Linked DNA regions of Ovis aries. The protein of the gene in region 2 interacts with the protein of the main gene of each other region in a pairwise test. Links are inferred from orthologs where the notes say so. Each region holds a gene or a part of one and is shown on either strand. Other genes may lie near its edges.

Region 1 (11,657 bases), on a different chromosome or scaffold from region 2:
AATAAATTCCTGGAGATATTTATTAAGTTCTTATATGAGAGACAGTGGGTATGATAAGTATTCAAGTGTGGCTTGTCAAGATGAACTGCTTACTGATGAAGGCAGAGACTTTTATGAAAATGGACAAAGATAAAGTATAAATGCCACAACTTACAACTTTTCCCCCTCACACTAAGAAGATCCAAAACAGTCTTTCTGTGTGTGTGTGTCAAATGCTGGATGAGTATCTGTTGAATAAATGATTGCAACAATATATGCTGCTGCTGCTGCTAAGTCGCCTCAGTCGTGTCCGACTCTGTGCGATCCCACAGACGGCAGCCCACCAGGCTCCGCCGTCCCTGGGATTCTCCAGGCAAGAACACTGGAGTGGGTTGCCATTTCCTTTTCCAAAGCAGGAAAGTGAAAAGTGAAAGTGAAGTCGCTCAGTCGTGTCCGACTCTTTGGGACCCCGTGGACTGTAGCCCACCTGGCTCCTCTGTCCATGGGATTTTCCAGGCAAGAGTACTGGAGTGGGGTGCCATTGCTTTCTCCACAATAATATATCCACACATACATAACCAACCACACATATATACCTGAGAACAGGGGTTCTTATGGGATTTGTTAATGTTGACTTCCCTAGTGGCTCAGAGGTTAAAGTGTCTGCCTGCAATGCAGGAGACCTGGGTCGATCCCTGGGTCGGGAAGATCCCCTGGAGGAGGAAATGGCAACCCACTCCAGTCTTCTTGCCTGGAGAATCCCATGGACGGAGGAGCCTGGTGGGCTACAGTCCACGGTGTCACAAAGAGTCAGACACGACTGAGCACCTTCACTTTCACTTCCAATGTAAATAAAAAATTACATCTTTTTTTCATGAACCTTTAACTGAAATCTAGCATTTCTTTCACCTGTGTATGTAAGCAACAAACTGACAGTAGAACCTGTGAGTTGGTCTTTAGCAGAATTCAGACATTTTTATATCATATGCTAGGTAAGTTGCAGAAGTTACATGAACTGTCATTTTAAAAAATATTTTGAAACTGTATACAGTTGGTTTTCGTTAAAACCTACCTATTTTACAATATACACTTATAGGCATCATTCTGAGGTGTCCATAGGCTTCCCCAGAGAGTGAAAGGACCCATGGCAACAGAAACCATTATGTGGTCTATGCTGCCCAGTGAGCAGCAGAGAAACAGGAAGTGAACCTATCCTTGATGCTCTCTCTTAAGCATCAGAAAACCCAAGTAAGCTTAGCAAGTCTTCATCTCACAAATTCATAGTTAAATTCTCTGAATACCACATGGTACTTTAACTCACAGAAATCGTAATTTAAAAAACTGGTGGAAGTCTTGTCAATTAATGGTCTAGTATATAAACAATCTACATCCAATGATACTAAGAAAATTTATTAATACTAAGCATTAGTATCAATGATGTTTGTACCTTTTATTTTCATTCTCAGTTATAGACTGTAATATAGTATGTAAATTATTTAAGCACCAAAGCTGATGTTACATTAAGTCTGTGTTAGTCACTCAGTCACGTCCGACTCTTTTCGATCCAAAGGACTATGGCCCGCGGGGCTTCTCTGTCTGTGGAATTCTCCAGGCAAGAATACTGGAGTGGGTAGCCATTCCCTTCTCCAGGGGATATTCCTGACCCAGGGATTGAACTTGGGTCTCTTGCACTGCAGGCAGATTCTTTACCATCTGAGCCACCAGGGAAGCCCCAGTGTATATATTATGCTGCTCATCAAGATGAACAGCTTACTGATGAAGCCAGAGATTTTTATGAAAATGGAGAAAGGTAAAGTTAAGGTTTAAATGCCAGAAGTTACAACTATTTTTTTTCTTACACTAATATGCACATAAAAATTAAAAGAAAAAAATTTAAAACATAAGAGTTCAAAAAATTTTCAGCTAAAATTAAACTTTAAATTAAGCCACATGTGAAGGACAAGCCAATGACTCTATATAAGAGAAAGGAAGAATTACAACCCATAGCCTCACGGCTCTTCACGTTCTCAAGTAGAAAACCAGAGATACTCTAATTTGAGATAAATATTACTGAGAAGATACTATCTTTACACTTAGGCCTAGAGTCTCTCTCTTCTCACTGCACATTATGGCAGTAGTTTGGAATTGAGGTGTATTATGAGTAATTTATTGCTGGTTATACAGTTTCCAAGTTTGCAAATAACTTGGAAGAAAAGTTTGGATTCAAAGCTGTTCTTTTAGTAAAATCAGTCTTATTCAGTGTATTCTATTATAAAATGCTTTCCTAAGAAAGGAGATAGAGTTATAGGGAGATGAATGAAAAATTTAAATAACCTACTGAGGATGCAGCTTTTAATGAACAGATTATTGGTGCACTATTAACAGTTATACTTATTAACTATTTAAATGCTTTACTTTCCTACAAAAATGTTTCATTTTTCCTCAAAATCTGAGGGACTGGTTCACTGATTTGCCTCAAGGCACAGCTTAATACAAAACATTAACACTAAATTCAACTGACCGCTAGAATATATCTGGACTAAAATGCAGTGTGTCTAACATGTGCTGTACTATAACATGGAGAAAGGTATTCCCAACCTCATAAAAGTGCCATGATATTATACTCTCATGGGGCACTCTATTGTACTCTACATGTGGCTTCAAGTTTTTGGTTTCTTTGAACAAATATCATAGAAGAGAAATGTAATTTTATGTTAGACAAATAGGACCACAACCAAAAGTACAGTCTGTTTTGAATAATAACCCAAGCTCTCCTCTTACCTGAACAAAATGACTAGGTGTTTCACTGCAAACTGAATGGATCTGTCCATTTATTATGGGAATTATCTTAGCTAAAGGCAGGCTGACACTGGAAAGACTGAAAAATCATCACAGTAATAATTATTTTCTGAAATTATTTTATAGGAATTTAACATTTAATTATAAAAGAAATAGCCATTGAAAAGTACTTACAGAAATGTTTTAGTAAGAAAATAAAGACCAAACATAATTTTACCATCTAGAAATAACAATTATAACTGACATCATAGTTAATTTCTTCCAGTAATTTTTTTATACATATCTATACTTTTTGGGTGTTTTTATCACCCAGCTATAACCTCCCAAGCAACACTGTTTTGCATTTTTATTCTCATGCTATAATCACTCATTCCATCTCATTAAAAGTTCTTCCAAAGTATTTGTTTTTAAATTACTATATAGTAATCCATCCTCTAGCTGTGACAACTTATATCATCAGCTCCCTATGGTTGGGCATTGAGTTTTTGCCTAATTTTCTTTAATATAAATAACTCTTTGTATTTACAGTAAATTACTGAGTTGAAGGATATGAATGCTTTTAAGCTTTAAAATGTGTATTACCAAATTCCCTCTGCTTCTCTAACAGTCTGAGAGGATACCTGCTCCATCATGACTCCTTTCTACATCAAGCATTTCTTTACTCTTCATATATCTGATAGCTAAAAATCATTATCTCACAGTTTTGGTCTGTATTTCCCTTAATTACTAGCAATGTCAAATAGTTAAGTATAATAAACACTTGAGTCCTACATGAGTGATCATGAGTACTACAGGAGTTAAGAAAAGATTGAAATGGCTGATACAACTGCAACATAATTTTTATAATTCTCTAGTGTACAAGATCAAGTATTTGTTTTATATAAAAATTCTTATCACTATTCAGTAAATAACTAATACTTTTGCTAGATAGACACTGTAGTGAAATTTTGTTGACTGGAGCACCTTAATTTAGAGAACTTACTGAGGCTGAATTTTTTCTGAGAATTTAAAGAATTGCTATAAAAGATTTTAGGATGACATTTAAATTGCTTCAGAAAATAAACTGTATGACCCTAAGCATTCCAAATCCTCAATGTTAACTGCCAATTAATCCTTTTTGTATAATAAAGAGTGGTCCCAGAGAACTGGGCAAATAAACTGTTGCTCTATGTATTTGAGAATTAAAACAGGCATTGCACATACATACTGCGTATCAGTTACTGTTATCCCTAATTTTAACAGATGAGTCTACAGTCAGTTAACATGGATTTAGTACCTATTATTTTCTGAATTTAATACAAAAAAACTGCAAAACAGTGTAAATCCTAATAGATTTAAGGTGCTCATGCTGAGATTATAATAAAACCATAAGCTATCTTTTGGCAGAGTGAATCCATGACTTAGTAATTATGATTTAAATCATTATCATCTGTACTATCTAAACAAAAAGGGCTACAGAACTAGGAGATAATTCATCAAATGGGAATATAGAACAAGAATGCCTGGTTGAATTATGAAGGCCAATTATATCTTATAGTGCTGGAATAATGTAAGAGAAAATGTTAGAACTTAAATAACATTTTCATAGTTTTGTATTCTAAAGCATTAAATTAAAAAAGCCTCAATAATTGAAACTGGCCTATGGAAAAGTAGTTTCACAAGTTAAGTACTTCTGTATAGTGGCAAAATTTTAGAAGAAATAAACATTTAAACACTGAATACTGAAAGAGCTCCTCCTAATGAAGGAGTCATTGGCTTAACAGAGTTTAATTTGTTGAAAAAATAAACATTCACATTTGTCATCTGAGATTTTCTTTTTTTGTTACCTGGAACAAAAAATTAACATATCAAAAAGCACTGTTTTATCAGAATAGTCATAAGACTGGTAACATTCTTATATGTCTTCTTACCTATTCATGGAGTTACCATGTTGCAGGTCTTGTTCAGTAGGTCGAAAGAACTCAGCCATGTTGTCTAGTAGTCTACTGAATCCTCGGTTGAGACAGGTATTCAAAACTGTACTAAAATCTGGACTACATAAAGAAGATAAATTACTTTTTAGATTTTCAATGGAAAAGGGCAAAAATTTAGTAACTATGTGGCTACCTTTGACAGCCACCACCATTTCTAGTCACAATTTTATAAACTAAAACACTATAAAAATGTATCAAGGAGTCAATATTAAAAATTAAGCATAAAAAGAGGGCTAATTGTATAACGTAATGCAGTGAGGATATTTGCTCATTTCGCTAGATTTTCTTACATTATGCGGCACTTCATAAATGTACTTTTATAAATATCAGTAATCATTACTTCTCTTGAGGAAACTCTTATGAGGAAACTCTATTAATATTTTGTTTATGTGTTCAGATGAGGAACTGGACACTTGATGCATGAAGAAATTTATCCTAAGGTATGTTACTAGTAAATATAGGAGGCAGAATTTGAACCCAGGCCTTTCTGATCTTAAAGTTCAAGCTCTTTTTGTTATATCATGTTATTACCTCACAGAAACTCTTTGATATGAAGAGTAATATATATGCTATCAGGGTTAGGAACTGCCCAGTTGAACAGATTAGTTCTGTCTCTGACGTGTAGAAATCACAATTCATCACATGGCAATAAATTTGGTAATTATTAACATATAAACAGTAAAGTAATGGGAGTAAATAAAATTGCCTGGGGCAGTTGAGGATGAAAAAAGAACAAATACCTGGGAAACATTAGTATTTAAAGGAAAGACAGGCATAAAGGAACCTAAGAAGAAATGATCTGAGAACTGGGGAAAAACTGGGAGACTGTCAAGGCAACCATGAGAGAAAGAATTTCAAGAAAACCTTGATCAACAGCGTTAATTATCAGAGGAAGGTCAAGAAAGATGAACACTACAGGTCGACTGGATTTGACAAAAGAACACTGATGACCTTCCAGAGTTTCATGAAGTGACTTGAATAAGAAAAGAAGTAGAGATTGATATTGTAGAAAGTCAAGGACTAGAACTTGATGAATTCATATAATAGCTGAATTAACCTAGAAAATTTGCTGATTTTCTTCAAGATCATGAAAAAATATTAAAAACAAAGGATATAATCTGCCCAGAAAACAAGAGAAAATGATCTTAAATTATCTTTAATTTAAAAAACACTGATACTTTAATCACTTAAGATAAAGCAGATGAACTGATATTACCACTAAGATTTCACAATGATAAAACTACCTCAAAGAGTGTAAGTGACTCAACCAAGGTTGACCAGCTGATAAACAGCAGAGCCAACCTTGAATCTAGGTCCTCTCATCTTCTAATACACAATCTGGGGCTTTTCCCATTTGTAACATTCTGGCTCTCTTCTGGGTAACTTAAAAAAGTTAATACTCTATTGAAGGCGGATGTGAATTTTTATCACTCAAAGATTTAGTAATATGAGAGTCGAACCTGAAAGGGTCAGGGGAAGTAGTTCTCATAACTGCGTATGTGTGTGCACACACAGCACGTGTGCACGTGTGTATACCTGAGGATTAGCTAGAGCTGGCTAGCTCTGGCTGGCAAGAGCACCTCTTCCCAAGTCAGCACTGAGTGGCATCAGATTAGGAGTCAGCAGAGTCAGCACTGCTGTGGCTACAATTTTAGTTTTCGTTTTTGTTTTCTTTATAGGGCTAGTTGTTAAACATATACCAGAATACACTGGGCATATAAGAATCACCATTTAAAGCTTTCCTCAAAATATAAATGCTAACTATCTTCCGGTCCCTTAACTAGTATATCAGAATCTCTAGGCTAGGAAAACAGGTAGGGGCAATCCTGGGTGTCTTGGAAAAAAAATCTCTGCTTACCTCCCTACCCTAACAAGACAAGCACGAGTGTAGGTAGGAAATCCTACTAAAAGCAGGGGAATATATTTAAAATTTAATTTTAACAAAATATTATGTTGAATATTTGTCCAAGAAAAACTATAAGATGGTCATGAATACATTTAAAATAGAAGCACATGTTCCTGTGACATGCAGTGTACATACCTTTCCAACATGTCTCTAGTTTCATTGAGTAGTTTAATAGTGGTAACATCTCTAGGAGAAAGTCCGCAGGCCTGTGAAATTAAAAGGCCACACTTCAGGGTTTCAAATATAGCACAGGGTTAATGTGAAACAAACTCAAGAGTTCAGGAAATCTGAAAAGTCTATGTCCTATCAACAATTAAAAAAACATGTTCAACTCAAAGAAACTATACAGGTTGATGTGCACAGATGAGTAGCATTTAAAACACTGAGTCACAATAGGGTCTTTATAAGATCTTTATTTATCTGAAGGACATATTAACAAAGAAAAATTAGTCTTCCAGGTTGCAGAGGCCAGAGATATTTTTTTCTATTATTGTTAAGGGATTTTATTAGGATATGCATGTGTCTTTTCTCATCAATCTAGTTTAATCTAAGGCTCCATGTGTTCTTCCAATCTAAGTTGTAGGTTTAAATTCAATTCAGATAAGATGTGCTCCATCGTCCCTCTCATTACCTGTTCTTTTGAATTATTTTCTTTTTTAAGTCCACTGTTGAATTTTAAAATGTGGAAATTGCTTTATCATTCCAGAAATCTTTAAGAATACTATTATTGCATCTCCTCAAGATTCTAATTTTTAAGTGAGTTTTCTCTTGCTTCTCTTGTTAATTCTGACAGGTCTGTTCTGTTCATTCAGTTTAGCTTCCATTCTGCAGGGGTTCATGAGGTTCTCTTAAATGGCTTACAACCTATCTCTGGAGCCTCCAGGGGAGCGGGAAGCAGGCAATGAAAAACATGGCAATCTTTGTTCCAACAGGGCCTTTAGGCTGAGGTATGGCACAAGGGCCTCTTTAGTCTAAGACTTCTCCAGTCGTTAAGTGAGGAAGATCCTTCTCTCAACTGCAAAGAATGGATGCAATCTGCTTACATGTTAATAAGCAGCAATTACTTTAAAAGAGGCCTATAACCTGTAATCCTTGTATTTTTATTATTCTTAATCAATGAGTAATTTAGATCACAACTGTCCGGGACACACCAGGGTATAGCAACACCATGGCTGATAACTGTTGGAACTGGCCTTCTCTGTTTCTCAACTGGATGACTACAACCTCCTTCAGTGCACTCTGATACTGTTATCACTGATTTATCTTAAAAAGTAAACATGATTGTGGTACTGACCTGATCAAAATTCACCTTTGTCTAGAACTGGAAGTTTAGACCCTTTATCTTGGCATACAAAGCTCTTTATGATACTGTCCCCAGCCACCAGCTTTATCTTCTGTTACTTGATCTCAAAGAAATATGCTTTAGCCACTGGAACTGAATTTGTCTTCTGAATTCTCCAGGTTTACTGAACATGCTTATTCATTTTGTATCTCAATCATACATCATAGTGTCTGTCACATAACTAATATTCAATAAAATCTTGCTGAATATCTAAAATGCTTTCAAACTAGAAATCAATCACATTTATAGTTTGTTTTCTAAATTAGTGAGGTTTTATTTAAATTATTGAAATGTATCTTTCAATCACTTACCTTTCAAGAGACTCAGAAATCTAAATTTTAAGACATAATGAAAAAAACATTAACAGCAAAGAGTAACTGGTTTTGCTTAAATAGTTTTGAATTAAGCACCTGAACTGCTAATGGAGTTTCTTCATCTGGCATCATGTAATGGCATAATAAAGATTTGGATCCATCATTATTAATCCAAGAAGATGATTTATGCTGCTCAACGAGATCTCTGATTTCTTTTAGTTTTTGCTCCAAGTCCAAAAGGGACAAAGAATGTTTAAGAGAAACACTAGAAACAGAGAAAAGGAAACTGGGATAAGTGAAACTATACCACACGTCCTACGAATACTCCTTTCCTAACAGGTTACTACCCGAGATCCTGTTTCATCCCGTCACACCTGAAACTACTGACTATGAAATCATCAGAGTAGATTAAGAAATCGGCCATTGGTTTGGGGCCAAGAAAAATCTCGTTGCAGATTTCACAAGAAAATTCCCACTGTGATTAAAGACACTGCCATATGAACAGGAGTTAAAAGCCTCAGAGGCAGATTTTTAAAAGCAGGTCTTTTGTCTCATGACCCAAATATTTTTGGTTTGTTTTGAAATCAATCAATACACAATGAAATATTAAAGCTTTCCCCTTAGTATCAAAACGTTGATACCGATGAAGAAAACGGATTCCACAATGTAATACCCAGGGCTGTGTCTGAATTAGGTTAAAAGAGTTTTGCAGACCACCGTTTGTCAAGTCACCAGCTTCACTAGAACTATGTTAATTTTTCTTTTATTCATCAGACTCAGGAAGTTAGGAAAAGCCAATGCAAAATGCCTCACCTTCCTAAAATCTTCTGCACAGCTTGTTTAATGACAGTGATCAATTCTGTCAGGCCTATAAAAAGAAAAATAAATGTAAAAAAAGCCTTGTTTACATTTTCAATTCCTCAATAATACAAATGAATGAATTAGAATTAGTTTACAGGTCATAAATAAGAATCTCACCATCTCCAAGGAGGTGCTGAATACTTGATAAATATTGCTGTTGGACATCTGGGGGAGCAAGAACTGTCTGTACGAAATAGACATAAGGTGCTCAATATTATTAATAAATAATGTTTTCATTATAACTGAAGCTGAGATTCTAGGACCTAGAACAATAGGAAACACTACTCTCTAACATAACCAAGTCTAGTTTCAACATATGAAGAAAAATAATGGTTAAAGTTTATAATCACATGAAATATAATTATTCTATATAAATTATCATGATAATATTTGGTTAAATTTTGAATCTCTTGAAAGATAAGGCAGTATCAGTTTAAGTCTATTAAACTTACGGTGCCATTTTTGCCAACTGCTGCATTATCCAAATAAATATATCCACCGATTATGTTTAACTGGACTCGCAAAAGAACCACCAGCATGCAAGTACTGTACACAGCTACGATGCTTCTTGTGAAACCTTTGCAGAGAAAAGAAAACCTCTTGGTACTAATTGTTAAAACACAAACAAATGTGTAAAATCGCAAACCATCCCTATGTTATTTTTTCATAAGACAACTTAAAATATACGTTTATAATTACTTCAAGTACAAAAATGTATCAATTCAAAATATTTCAGTTTATCTGATTACAAAATATTTATTGTCAATTAGGAATGATCTCTTAATTGAAACAATAACCAATAAAGATAATAACCAATATATTCAGTGAAGGGTTAAAGGACTGGGAAGCACTCAGTTGTAGCCTCAGAGCTCTGAGCTGTCCAAGGAGCTTGTTCAGAATCAGGGAAGAGCGCTGAGCATGAAGAGCTCCAGCTGTCACTGGCAGGTAAAAGAGCACAAAGGATAAGCTCATACAGGGATGGAGGAAGGTACAGAGAGACAGAGACCAGTCTTCACAGGTGTTTAGGACCGACTGTTCAAAACAGAGGTAAGAGAAAGGTGCTGACTCTTGCTGAGACGAGGAAAATGTCCAGTGGATTTAGCAACACTACTGATCTGTGATATCTGCTTGGATGGAGATACAGGAGTGGAAACCAGGCTCCAAGTGTGTCACAGAATGAGAGGGAGTGCAGAAGAAAAGAAACAGAATGTAGAAAGCTTTAGTATTACACAAGGGAGATTAAAAAAAGTACAATAGCTGAAAGGAAATATAGGGTACTACACAGGTTTATTTCATTTTCAAACAGGCAAAGCTTAAGCATGATTTGTGTTTCCCTGGTGGTTCAGTGGTAAAGAATCCACCTGCTAAGAAGCAGACACGGGTTCAGTCCCTCAGCTGGGAAGATCCCCTGGAGAAGGAAATGGCAACCCACTCCAGCATTTTTGCTTGGGAAATTCCATGGACAGAGGAGCCTGGGAAGGTATAGTCCATGGGCTGCGAAGAGTCAGACATGACTTAGTGACTAAACAACAAGCATGATTCAGTTAGGAAAACACAAGAATGACAGAGGATGAAGTTCTGAGACATGGAGATATATGTATCTATCTGTCCTAGGGAAGCTTTTTGTTTGAAATTTTTATCACTAATCAAAGTTTGCATACAATATCAAAGTAAAATTACTATTTAGGTTGGAGTAAAAACTTCGTCTATTGTATCAGAACCTAATATACACATATGTAGTCTAGGATAAGTTTATGTATTATTATAACAATAATACCACCACCACCACGAACATTACTAAGCAGTTTCTATGACCAGTAGACATCAATCTACTTGCTTCACGAGAATTATTTAATCCTGACGACAACTCCATGTGGTAGGTAAAGAAGAGCCACCCACATAATAGAATACAACAATTTCCCATTAAAAATATTTTAAGGCTATGCCTTGAAATATGTAGGCTTACTTATTATCTTCAGATCCTCCCATATTTCTAGCTTGTTTGAAGGCCTAAAGAAAAATATCAGAAAATATAAAAATAATAATCTAGATAATTTAATAGAAAACTTTGAACTTTGCAGTTCAATATTTAATTATATTTTATCACAAGATAACTATAACTGTAGAAACAAAGCCCATAAGCTATACTAAAAAATGACTATAATTTCAGTAACTGATGATGACACCCATTTTCATAAGAGTCAGAGACAGGACTTAGCGACTAAACGACCACCATCACCATTACCTGCGTATGTCCTTCCAGTCTTTCTCTTCCTTCTGAGCATATGATATGTGTACTATAAAATCATACCGGAAAAGCAGGAATAATATTTATCTTTCCCTTATTTACTATTTTACAAATAATGAAGTAGGTCTATAATCCTTCAATGGCAAGTACTGTCTTTTAAATATCATTACAAACACAGGCATTTAACTTGATGTGTTTCTATCCACTGTAGTTGTTACCCTTATTGATTTTCAAA
Region 2 (12,313 bases):
GGTCCCGGATCCCGGCTTCTGCCTGCCCCTCCCCCGGCAGGCCGGAGGACGGAACCTGCTGCCCACGCCCGGCCGCCTCACAAAGGCCCCCAGCTCCGTGGCTCCGTGTCAGCAGCGGCAGCGGCTCCAGCGGGCTGGGAAGCTCCCTGCTGAGGCCTGTGGGCGGGTTGTGCTGAGGCTGTGGGCAGCCAGGTGCTGAGCCCATCTTACTCTAGACTCACCGCTAAGGGCACAGATAGCTCAGATCCCCACCTCGCCTCTTGCCAGGCGGAAACGTTACCTCCCTCTGTGGGCCTGGGCTTCCTCACCACTGAGGTAAGGTACCTACACCACCTGCCCAGGGACGGACACCCAGGAGGCCCTGTGCAGAGGTCACAGCCACCGCCCAGAGCCCCGGCATTTCCACTGCTCCTCGCCCAGCCTCCCTCTCCCACCCCCTCCCTCCCACACTGAATTGCCCCAGGTAGGTCCTGCAGCTGGAGAGCCCTGAGCAGGTCCCTGGGCCCTGGCCCACTCAGGCCCCACCAGACTAGCCCATGCTGAGGGCACTCCCCCCAGGCTGCCCCCCCGCAGCTTAGCATGGTTTCAGGAACCCGCCTCCGAGGGTGACACGGACTTCAGCATAGGTGGCAAAGCCTGGGACCTGGGCCTCTCGAGTGCAAGCTTCCCAAGGGCAGGGACTACCGGATGTCCAGTACTGGATGCCTGCTGGGTGCTCAGTGAATCCTTGATGAGGCCAGAGACTGAGTCTCTTCACAGGCCTGTGGCAAGGCCATACGGCCCTCTGCTTCCTGCCCGGCCCCGTGCTAACTCAGTGTGGACCCGGCTCCCTCCCTGGACACAACTGGCTCCCACGAACCCGCCTTAGCATCCTCTGCCCGCCCTGCCCTCCGCCAGGAACCACAAGTTCAGACACTCTGGCTCCTCTTAACTCCAAACCCCTCATTTCCTTGCCTCCAAGACTAGACGCCACCCTCTTCCTTTGTATCCACAACCAGTCCCCAAGGCCTGGCTGGGTCGCCCCCCACCCCTCCTGCCACCGTCTTAACTTGGCCCCACCCATGGTTGCAGGCCTCCACCTTCCCCCTCCCGTGCCCACAGGCCCCCTGAGATGCGCTTTCAAACAGGCCCCTCCCCACCACCTCCTCCGCGACATTGCTGGCCTGGGGCGCGATGGCCTGGTGGATTCGGCCCTGCCCGCCGCTCGGGCGCCCTCCCACCCCAGCAGGGCCGTCAGGCCACTGCAACAACTACTTGTGCTGTGTTTTTGCACACACAGCCTCCACCTCCCGTCTGCCTGCTGAAAACAGATGAAGTCTCAGCAGTTTAGAAGCCGGCTTGACTCCCTGACCAGGGTGCCCTCCGGCTGGGGCGGGCAGGCAGTCTGACCATGGGCCGCGCATACTTCCACCAACCGCAACAACTCGGCACATGGAGGCATCCACACACCTGTCCCGCGCGCTGTCGAGAGTGAGGGCGGCGAGCTGGGCCTGCCTCGCTTCCACGCACAGCACGAGCCCCAGAGCACACTACCATGCCCAGCCAAGGCTGCGGGTCTCAAGTGGTAACCACCCAGTGCCTTCGCCCCCCGCCCGGGACCCAGACGGGGCTTCTCAGAGGCACTTGGGGAAAGCAGTCAGGGACAGCCAGCCCGTCCCAGGGTGTCTGGGGGCAGCGGAGGCACAGCTGACACAAGGCAGATGGAGCCCTCTCAGAACCCAAGCGGCTGCCTGACCGGCTGGAAGCTCCAGCAGGAGCACGCGGTCTGCTCATAGCACAAAGACAGCAGAGACTGAGGGAAGGGAGAGAGCAGGCAGAAAGACAGCAGCCGCCATGCCCAAATCCCTGCATGGAGCCTCCAGGAAGACCACAGGGGAGACGCCGGCTCATGCCCCGTGAACCCGCACGTGGCAGCTCCTAGCCCTGCCAACCTTACCGCTGCCCAGGGCCGGCCGCAGCGCTGGCTGGGGCCTGATGTCCCCTTCCCACAGGACAAAGGCCTGCTGCTCTCGAGCAGGGGTCAGGGCTTGAGGTGCCCCTCTGCACTGAGGCAGGCCCACCAGCACCACGCTCCACCACGGAGCAGCTGCCAGGCATCAGGCCCCAGCAGGGCGTGGGCCAGAAGACACAGGGGCAGCTGTCACCCAGTCTGGGTTCAGCCTGGCTGGCCGTCAGCAGGGATCAAGAGAGAAGCAGCATCTGCTATCGCAGCTTCCCGTGAGGTGGGTTCCAGCTTTCTAGGCTGCAGAAGCCCGTGGCCCGGTCCTAGTAGGGCACCCCGGCCAGTGATGAGGTGCGGCGTGTGCTTCCTTCCCCTCAGGATGCGGAGTCGAGAGGGAATTAAGGGCGCTCTAGTGGAGACCAGGGCTGTGTGCGGAGCCCAGCCAGAGTGCAGGAGCCGGGCGCCCCGGGTCGGGGGCATGGAGCAGTCACAGGCGTGGACGCTGCCAGAGTCAGTTTTATTAGGGCAAAGGGGCCCAGGGACTTGAAGAGCTGAGGCATCCCCTGCCTCTCCCCACACCCCACTTGCGGAATGTCCATCAGCCCCAACTGTAGAAATAAATTTTCTGCCAGTTGGGCAAGTAATCCATGAGTGGCCCTGCAATGACAGAGAGGGGAGCAAGTTCAGGACTGAGGGCCAGACTCCAATCCAGCTCTACCCAGGGCCCTCCTGAGGCCCCCGTCCGCCTGGTCAGAGCCCCCACCCTCCCACCTTCCCCGCGAGCATCAGAGCCATCTCTGGCTATGTTTACAGACAAAGAGTTTCAAGCTCACAGAAATCACACAGCTGTCCCGCTGTCCCTGTGGGTAGCCCTGGCCCAGGGCCTCTCTGCTGAGGGTGCCTCTCCAAATGGCCAGCAGGTGTCATTCCTCCGTACAGTCCCCAGCCAGTGAAGCTGGTCTCATGTCATTGAAGGAGCTGTCACCCTCCCAACCTGACCTCTGCGCTCCCTCTCCCAACTGTGCCAAGAGTCAGATTACAAGGAGGTACAGGGAGCCGGGCCACACAAAAGCTCCGTGATGGTAATTATCACCCCACGCTTACTTGTGATCAGACCAATGCCTGGGACGTGGTCTGCCAGGAGCTGGAGTAGAAAGAGGATCTTGGCCCTGCAACAACGGAGTAGCCTAAGTAGGGGGCCTGGGTTCCTGCAAACCCAGGCGTGTAAAACCTCTGCTAACCACCTGACTAAAGGCAGTGCATCCCAGAAGCCAGAAGGTCACCACATGCATCAAGGACATCCTAGGAGACAGAAGGCTCTGGTCCAGCCGTCCCCAGCCACACACCTGGGAGGGTCACACCTCAGCCCACAGCTGGGAGGCAGCCCAGAGCCAGAGACTATATTGTCTGACAATAAGAAGGGGGAAGGAAACTTCTCTCTCCCCAGACTATATCCCAGAGGTCCTCGGCACCCTGCCCCTGTCCTCTGGGGGACAGGCTCTGGGCCCTCCTCAGTCTGGGCCACTGCTCTAAGGGTGCTGGGCTGGTCAGGTTGGCAGGAAGACAGGCCAGACTGGAGGCCTGTAGCCTGGGAAGCCACCTTTGCAATTAGGTAATCCTCAATTCAGACCAATATTGGGGCTACAATGCTTCCTCTGTAGAGTGCAAGCCATCTGTGGGCAGAGGTCACGATCCACCAAAGTCTCCAGAGCATTTTCTCTGGAGTGTAGAAAAGGATTTGGCTTTAGAACCTTGTGAGCTTTCAAACTGATCTGAAAATAGAAACTTATTTTCATGAGGTGGTTATTAAATCTGACCTAAGCTTACTTTCTACCAACTCAGAAAATGAACAGAAGTAATATGTACAGAATGTTAAGTACGATTCCAACGATCACTCCAGCCTTTAACAATCACTCCAGCCTTTAACGATCACTCCAGCCTTTAAGCAGTGTTCTTGTTACGACCTGGACAGAGTGGGTTCCGGGAGCCTCCAGCCTGTCTCACAGCCCCAGTCACAGTATAGGGACCCCTCCTCAAATCTCGGTCTGACCTCAGGTGACCTCTTTGGGAGACTTGGCGCCGAGTCACCCCTGACTCACGCCCAGCAGGCCTCTCTGTGGCTAGGAGCTCTGGACCCTCTCAGGGTATGGAGGAAGGGCTGGGTGAGGCAGGAACGGGCCAGGAGAGAGCATGGGTGTCGGAACTGGCTGGCTGGGTGGCTTCATTTCAGCTGCCCAACCTCTTTGAACTTCAGTGTCTCCTGTGAGCAGTGGGAAATAACCCAACTGTTTAGGAAAGTGGGCGAGCAAGCTTAGGATGGGGAAAGTTCATGCCCACGGTCCCTGGGGCCTTGCCCCCGCCTGCCAACAGCAGCTTAAGCAGCACACTGGGCAGATGGCCCCAAGAAATCAGGAGTGAGCACACCCAGGGTAGCACACGGCACGTGTTCCGTGAACCCAGATCGGGGAAGGAGGGAGGGAAGGCAGGCGTGAGCAAGCCTGGGGAGCCAGCCCACTTCCCCTGCCCTGCCCCGCGGAGAGGGTGCTCTGCCAAGCCAGAGGCCAGTCCTTACTCGGAGAAGCGGTCGTAGAAGGGGGAGCGCAGCAGGTAGTAGAGCAGCAGGACGGTCCGGCGCCGCAGCTCCAGCCGCTCCCGCCGGGTCAGGCCCTTCCTGTCGCTCAGGAGGCTCAGGCTGGGGGAGGGGACAAGGTTCAGGCCAGCGACAGCAGAGGCAGGGACCCTGCCTGCCCACGTGAGGCCAGGCCTGCAGCACAAAGCCGGACGGAGGGAATGGGGCCCCCAGGCAGGCCCAGCTCACCTGGTCACATCCACGACACCGGACAGGAGCCAGGGTGTCCACGACCGCTGACCCCAGAGGCCCAGGCTGAGCACTGCCGGCCACGGCGTTAAGGATGTCTCCGGCACACGGCCCGCCCTGCCTGCCCCCGTCTATCGCAACCCCGGCCTGGGCTAAGGATACAGTGCAGCAGAGGCCGGGCGATATGCAAGGACTCGGCGATGGTCTCCTGCAGCCCCAGTGGGGTGGGGGCGACGCCCAGCTCCTCCTGCTGCTGCGGGGCCCCCCAGTGCCTGGAGTGCAGGGACGGAGCTAGAACACAAGGTAAGAGGTAAGAGGTAGGTAAGAGGCTGGGCCCGAGGGCTGGGGCGGGGGCAGGCAGGCACTGACGAAAGCCAGGCCCTCAGGCCCACGCTGACCTAAGCACCGAGCTGTCTCATCCAGCAACCTCCCACACTTACTGTTCTGGAGGGTTCGCACCACCCGGTTTGACCGCTTCCCCACATATGACTGCTCCTGGCTACCAGCGCTGTGGTCACCATCTAGCAGCAACAGATAAAAGGTCATACTGTCAGAGGGACACGTGCAGAGCCTACAAGCGAATGCAGGTGCAGTGAACGCTCATGGGCTATGGGGAGAATGGATAAACCTGTACGAAGACAGCAGCTGAGTCAAAGACACCACAGCAGAGGCTGTGCCTGGGACCTATCCATAGCAGGGAGCATTCTGCAGCCCTCCCCAACCTGGGGAAAGGCCAGTATCACCTGTGCAGATATACCAGCCAAGAACTAAGGCCTCCCAGGCACTGGAACAAGGCAGGGGGGCCGGTGGTCCATGGGAACCACAGCCAGAGGGGCTATATCTGGACTTCCCTGGTGGCCCAGCGGTTAAGACTCCATGCTTCCACTGCAGGGGGCGAGGGTTCCACCCGCAGTCAGTGAACTAAGATCCCAAAGGCCGTGTGGCGTGGCCAATAAACAAAAAATTTTAAGAAGGAGGGGAAGGGTGTATCTTCTGAGAGCTTTGCTTTCAACATGACCATGAAAACAGAAGTGAAGACCTGCCCCCAACTCAAAGTCAAGGGGGTAAGACCAGAGGCCAGCAGCTGATGGGCCCAAAGCCCTGAAGGGGCGCATCTGCTGGGTACCCTGCCTCATGAGGCTGTGCTCTTGATACAGAGCCAGCCCAAAGACAAGGCTGGCAAGACCCCTGCTTCCTCCTGATGCTCTGTCCCCTCTTCCCGCAGCCCATAACAATGGAGACTGAGGACTCCAACGTCAGAAGCTCTGAGTTTAAGCTCTGATCTGGCCTCTGACTTCATCATTCTTTCTCTTCTGTAAAATACCAGTATAAGACGATGAGGACAAAATGAGTTGATGGGGAGAGGTGTGCTCCACGGTGACAGTACGTAGGTCAGCTCTCATTTACCAATCAGCCCCGTGCCCCATTCCACTCCAGAGTGGGTAGGCACTTACCCTGGGACCGTGCCTGGGTCTCCCTGTCCAGCGGAACGATGGGGGGTGAGGTCTGGAGGCCAGTCTTGAACCAGATCAGCAGGAACATCCGAAGTACAGCCCTGGGTTGGGAGTACGGCAGGGCTGGGGAAGGGGGAGGTGGCTAGCTGGCAGGGGTCCAGGCTGCTCTACTGAACACCATCGGTACAGCTGGTCTCAGTGACCCCCACCCCAGGCCGGCCCTCCACAGTCCCGACATACTTGGCCAGCTGGATGAGGGCGATGACGAGCCAACGTCCTACTTCACCCCACACCTTGGTGGCCCCCATCTCCATGAACACCTCCACACACTCCAGCACGCTCAGCCATGTCAGCAGCTTCTGCTGGGACAGGGACTGCAAGAACCCCAGGCCAAGAGGTCAGGAGGTCCCCCTGGTTTCAGCTCCTCCCCCAGGGGACACCTCCCCTTCCCAAGATTAAGTGCTTAAGCCTGAGATCTCCTGCTGGGACAGGCGACTCTACCCTGTGAAACCCAGTCTTTTCACCTGATAAGGGGACACTGATGCCTGGACTTGTCGCCCAACAGCTACAGGCACAGGTGGATGCAGCCATGTCTCGTACTCCAGGAGACCATAATGCGTGCCCCAAACACGGGCTGGTGGTTACTATTTTGTTCCTGAGCCCTCTGCTTCACAATTCTTACCACGGGTAATTTTTTCCGAAGTTCCTTCCGTAGGATTCCGTCATTGAGCAGCACAAGCAGGTTAGAGGCAGAGTACACTGAGGGGCAGAGAGTGGCCTTGAGAGGCTGGCTCTGCAGCCTCCACCCCCTCCCCCTCTCCCTAGAGCAGCAGGGATCACCTATCCCCTGCTGTGCTCAGCCATCCCCACAATATGTGGAAACAACAGGTCCTGCCACCCACTTCCTCAGAGCTCTCCACTCCCCTCAACGACCTTTGTGTGAGCAGCTAGAACAAGAAAGGATGGTTTGATCTCTATGACATACCAGCTACTGTCCTGCTGAATAGCACTGGTTATCCAGCAGCCCAGAACCGCCCATCATGCTCCGAAGAGACATGGGAGGTGCAGTCACCTCCTGGTCTTTGCTCTCTCTGCAGCCTGTCCTTGAAATTCTCTTCCATCCCTACCTTTTAGAACCCAGCTCATCCTTTCAGGATCTGTCTCTCCTGTACTGACTGGGTAAACACCACTGAAGCAGTTATAACCTGGGCATTCTGGAATTTGGGAGATTGGGACATGAATTCTGGTTGAGGCCTTCGGTGGCTGTTCCTTAACCTCACTTAAACTTCTGTTCCCTTAACTGGACAAGGAGGACAATAACAGTACCCACTTCACATGACTGTAGGGAAGATTAACGGAGCAAAGGCAGAAGGGACGCTTGGCTCAGCCTCCTGACCAGTCAAGGTCCCCAGACATATCTCTCAACTATGGCGGGGGAGGGGGCATACGCGACGGCCTAGGACAGTGGACGCTGGACCCCTGTCTGATTCAATCACAGAACTGGATGATCTAACGGGAAATCTAGGAAGCCCTCCCCCACCCTCTCGCCCCCCACCCACCCCAGAGCCCGGCTCACCCAGCTCTGACAGCTCGTGCGAATCGGCGAAACGACCTGGGGAGAAGGCACAGAAGGAGGCGCCGGTGAGAGTCTGCCTCTCCCTGCTGCTTCGGGCCCCTGGACATTCCCTCCCTATGCCCTAACGGGAACCTGGAAGGAACTCCTCAAGCACAGCGATCACTACCCAGGCTCCGCAGGGAAGGGAGGGGGAGGCAGGTGGGGTCAGAGGTCAGAGATCCGAAGGGATGGGTCAAAGGTCAGGGTGGCACCTGCCAGCAGGTAACTGAGGCCGCGCACTGCCGTCTCCAGCTGGGCCGTGGCGGCCGGGTGACGAGTCACGTACTCCTGGTAGCGGAGGCCCACCAGCCGCAGCTTCTCCATCCTGCCCTCGGGACCGACAGACCCACGGACCGACAGCGATACTGGCTACGGGGCCCTGCTTCCTGCGCCCTCCTTCCTGCTTCCGGCGCTGGGCCCGCCTCTCTGCTGCTTAACTTCCGCGGGCCAGAAGGACGGCGACGCGAAGGGCAGTTGAGGCACCCTTCACCCCATTTCTTAAATCACCTCCCACCAGGGTAGCGTTAAGTAACCGCGGGCCTAATCCCGCCCTTCCTAACTCCTTCAGGTCATTGGTTCACACGCTCTCCGCCCCCGACCCCGGCGGCCCCACCGGCTCTTCCGCCTTCCGGGTTTGCTGCCTTGCACCTGCGCAGTTAGAGCTCCGGGAAAAAGCTCCCGCGGCAGCCTGAGCAGTTAATTCTGGAGTAGGGATCAAGAGCCTTCCCAATAGAATGCCGAGAGGCTCGAACGGGAGGACTGGCTTTTAAAGGGCTTGGGAGGCAGCGCCCACAGAGGAGCCTTCTCCATCAGACTTGGGCGGGTGGGGAGCGCGGGGACAGCCTAAGGACAATCGGACTGTGTGCAGGCGCGCGTTTGGCCCCTTGCCTCGTCGCCTGACTTCTCCCAGAGGTAGTGCTGGGGAAACTGAGGCAGCGAGAAGTCCAGCCTCCCACGCAGTCAAGATCCCCCTGGCCAGCATCGTTAGTGCCCCGGCTCCCACAAGGAGCATGTCCTCCCTCCCGCCGCCCTCCCGCCAAATCGCGCACCTGAACTCCCATCTTCACGGAGAAAAGCCTGGCCTGGGCTTCTGCTCTCCGCTCGGGGTGACCTTAACGAGGATTTTCCCTTCTCTGGGCCTCGGGTTTCCCCATCTGTAAAATGGTTAGAGGGCAGACGGGCTCTTTGAACTCGGGATCAATTTCACAGCGCTTTTTGGCCCTCCGGTGCATCTTCCAGCTCTCAGCTGCTTCCCAAGAAATGAGAACTTCTCCAGGGAATCTCTTCCCAAACAGGGTAGCCTCCCTGGAAGGAAGTGGCGGCGGGAGAGGAGCGGCCAGAGGTGGAGGGAACGGATGCGCGGAAGAGGCGGCCGCCGATTGGCTGTGGGCAAAGGGGCGGGGCAAGGCTGGGGCCCACGGGGCTGCGCTGTTGGGGACCAGGGCAGCAGGTTTATGGTACTCTGAGAATAGTACAGAATGGGAAAGACTAGAGATCTCTTCAAGGAAATTAGAGATACCAAGGGAACATTTCATGCAAAGATGGGCTCAATAAAGGACAGAAATCGTATGGAGCTAACAGAAGCAGAAGATATTAAGAAGAGGTGGCAAGAATACACAGAACTGTACAAAAAAGATCTTCACGACCCGGATAATCACGATGGTGTGATCACTCACCTAGAGCCAGACATCCTGGAATGTAAAGTCAAGTGGGCCTTAGAAAGCATCACTACGAACAAAGCTAGTGGAGGTGATGGAATTCCAGTTGAGCTCTTTCAAATCCTGAAAGATGATGCTGTGAAAGTGCTACACTCAATATGCCAGCAAATTTGGAAAACTCAGCAGTGGCCACAGGACTGGAAAAGGTCAGTCTTCATTCCAAGAAAGAAAAGGCAATGCCAAAGAATGCTCCAACTACCGCACAGTTGCACTCATCTCACATGCTCGTAAAGTAATGCTCAAAATTCTCCAAGCCAGGCTTCAGCAATACGTGAACTGTGAACTTCCTGATGTTCAAGCTGGTTTTAGAAAAGGCAGAGGAACCAGAGATCAAATTGCCAGCATCTGGTGGATTATGAAAAAGCAAGAGAATTCCAAAAAAACATCTCTTTCTGCTTTATTGACTATGCCAAAGCCTGTGATTGTGTGGATCACAATAAACTGTGGAAAATTCTGACAGAGATGGGAATACCAGACCACCTGACCTGCCTCTTGAGAAATGTGTATGAAGCAACAGTCAGAACTGGACATGGAACAACAGACTGGTTCCAAATAGGAAAAGGAGTATGTCAAGGCTGTATATTGTCAACGTGCTTATTTGACTTATATGCAGAGTACATCATGAGAAACGCTGGACTGGAACAAACACAAGCTGGAATCAAGATTGCTGGGAGAAGTATCAATCACCTCAGATATGCAGATGACACCACCCTTATGGCAGAGAGTGAAGAGGAACTAAAAAGCCTCTTGATGAAAGTGAAAGAGGAGAGTGAAAAGTTGACTTAAAGCTCAACATTCAGAAAACGAAGATCATGGCATCTGGTCCCATCACTTCATGGGAAATAGATGGGGAAACAGTGGAAACAGTGTCAGATTTTATTTTGGGGGGCTCCAAAATCACTGCAGATGGTGACTGCAGCCATGAAATTAAAAGACGCTTACTCCTTGGAAGAAAAGTTATGACCAACCTAGATAGCATATTCAAAAGCAGAGACATTACTTTGCAAACTAAGGTCCATCTAGTCAAGGCTATGGTTTTTCCAGTAGTCGTGTATGGATGTGAGAGTTGGACTGTGAAGAAAGCTGAGCGTTGAAGAACTGATGCTTTTGAACTGTGGTGTTGGAGAAGACTCTTGAGAGTCCCTTGGACTGCAAGGAGATCCAACCAGTCCATTCTGAAGGAGATCAGCCCTGGGATTTCTTTGGAAGGACTGATGCTAAAGCTGAAACTGCAGTACTTTGGCCACCTCATGGGAAGAGTTGACTCATTTGAAAAGACTGTGATGCTGGGAGGGATTGGGGGCAGGAGGAGAAGGGGATGACAGAGGATGAGATGTCTGGATGGCATCACTGACTCGATGGACGTGAATCTAAGTGAACTCCGGGAGTTGGTGATGGACAGGGAGGCCTGGCGTGCTGCGATTCATGGGGTCACAAAGAGTCAGACACGACTGAGCGACTGAACTGAACTGAACTGAGAATAGTACAGTATTTTACTTAATCCTCTCCACCAGATATTATCTCCACAAGAGCAAAGGATCCGCTTAAGAACGCCTCATCAAGATTGGAATCCTGGTCTAGTCTGACCACAGAATCAGGCATTGTAACACACCTCACCAAGAAACCACAACCCATCTTTGAGCTGCCTCCCTAAGTCTCCCCCCAGCTTAGTTTCCTTCTTTTTCAGACGGGGGATCTAACTTCCCGCTCTGCCCCTGCCAGGGAATGAAGACTCAGGGAGATGTGTCCAGGGCCTCAAGAGTGGCAAACCTCCTGGGGAACAGAGAGGTGGCCATGGGTATCATCTACATTATTTTTCACCACTTCCTGGGTGCCAGGCTCACTCATACTTAACTCCTCCTAGTAACTTGGCCAGATTGGTATGAATTCCATTTCACAGATGGGGAACAAGAGGCCCAAGGAGGAGAATGGACTTGTCTTAGGTCACACAGCATGGCACTGGTCAAAGAGACCACAGTGAGGGTCTCCTGTGACAGGGTCCTCTCTTCTTCTGCTCACAGCTCAGCCAGAGCAGTGACTGTTGAGGCCGCTTGGTCATGAATCAAGTTAGCAACTGGGATTAAGACTAGGGCTCAGGGCATTTGGCTGGGGCTCTTCCTTCCTTCCTTCCTACATCCCCTGCCATCTTAAAGAACTTGTTTGCCAAACCACATCAGCAGTACTCTCACCCCTGTATCTGAGGCTAGAGACGCAGAGTGAGGAAGGGGAAGTGTGGAAGGCAGAGTGAGAGAGTGAGGAAGGGGGCTGTGCAGGGTTTCTTTGGCATTCCCAGGGCTGGTGGTTCCAGTGCTTCTGGGGAGGGAGAGGGGCATGGGAGACAGAGGATCGCGCCTGCCACCCCCACCCTTGGACAGACTGTAAGGGACACTGGGGCTGGAGGCTGTTTCTCTTCCCTCCCTCAGGCCAGGGAAGGGATCAGGAGCTCAGCCAGGTTGGCAGCAGCACAGGGGCCTGAATTTCCTCTCCAGATCTTGTGCCTCATTAGGTCCCAGAGACAAAGAGGGTCGTGTGTACAGAAGGCACCCAGGGCAGCCCCGCCCTCCTGGGCCCCTGCCTGAATTTGGTCACCTGGGCTGGGCTTTGAAGGGCCTTTGGGCAAGTTGGACCTGATCCTGTCTCCTTCACTCTGGCCCGAACCACAGGGGAAGACAGCTAGACCAGTCCAACAGGTATACCGAGGTGGACACCGAGGCCCAGAGAAGGGGCCTGGGTGGTCTAAGGTCACGTAGAAAAGTCCTGGTAGAG

What was found.
Region 1: the proteins of PEX16 (region 2) and PEX3 interact in binary tests that used the Homo sapiens proteins (3 or more experiments, as listed by UniProt). The link is inferred for Ovis aries from reciprocal best matches to the Homo sapiens genes PEX16 and PEX3.

The regions. Positions count from the first base shown.
Region 1 is NC_056061.1:68,109,362-68,121,018, reverse strand, and holds part of PEX3 (peroxisomal biogenesis factor 3), read right to left. Parts: intron 11,185-11,657; coding exon 11,141-11,184; intron 9,752-11,140; coding exon 9,627-9,751; intron 9,359-9,626; coding exon 9,292-9,358; intron 9,182-9,291; coding exon 9,127-9,181; intron 8,579-9,126; coding exon 8,410-8,578; intron 6,864-8,409; coding exon 6,793-6,863; intron 4,812-6,792; coding exon 4,689-4,811; intron 2,858-4,688; coding exon 2,761-2,857; intron 1-2,760. UniProt on the Homo sapiens protein: Involved in peroxisome biosynthesis and integrity. Assembles membrane vesicles before the matrix proteins are translocated. As a docking factor for PEX19, is necessary for the import of peroxisomal membrane proteins in the peroxisomes.
Region 2 is NC_056068.1:74,866,930-74,879,242, forward strand, and holds PEX16 (peroxisomal biogenesis factor 16), read right to left. Parts: upstream 8,220-12,313; 5' UTR 8,154-8,219; coding exon 8,042-8,153; intron 7,827-8,041; coding exon 7,791-7,826; intron 6,974-7,790; coding exon 6,897-6,973; intron 6,589-6,896; coding exon 6,455-6,588; intron 6,316-6,454; coding exon 6,215-6,315; intron 5,282-6,214; coding exon 5,201-5,281; intron 5,052-5,200; coding exon 4,923-5,051; intron 4,834-4,922; coding exon 4,761-4,833; intron 4,635-4,760; coding exon 4,515-4,634; intron 4,203-4,514; exon of another isoform or gene 3,993-4,202; intron 3,112-3,992; coding exon 3,047-3,111; intron 2,600-3,046; coding exon 2,541-2,599; 3' UTR 2,441-2,540; downstream 1-2,440. UniProt on the Homo sapiens protein: Required for peroxisome membrane biogenesis. May play a role in early stages of peroxisome assembly. Can recruit other peroxisomal proteins, such as PEX3 and PMP34, to de novo peroxisomes derived from the endoplasmic reticulum (ER).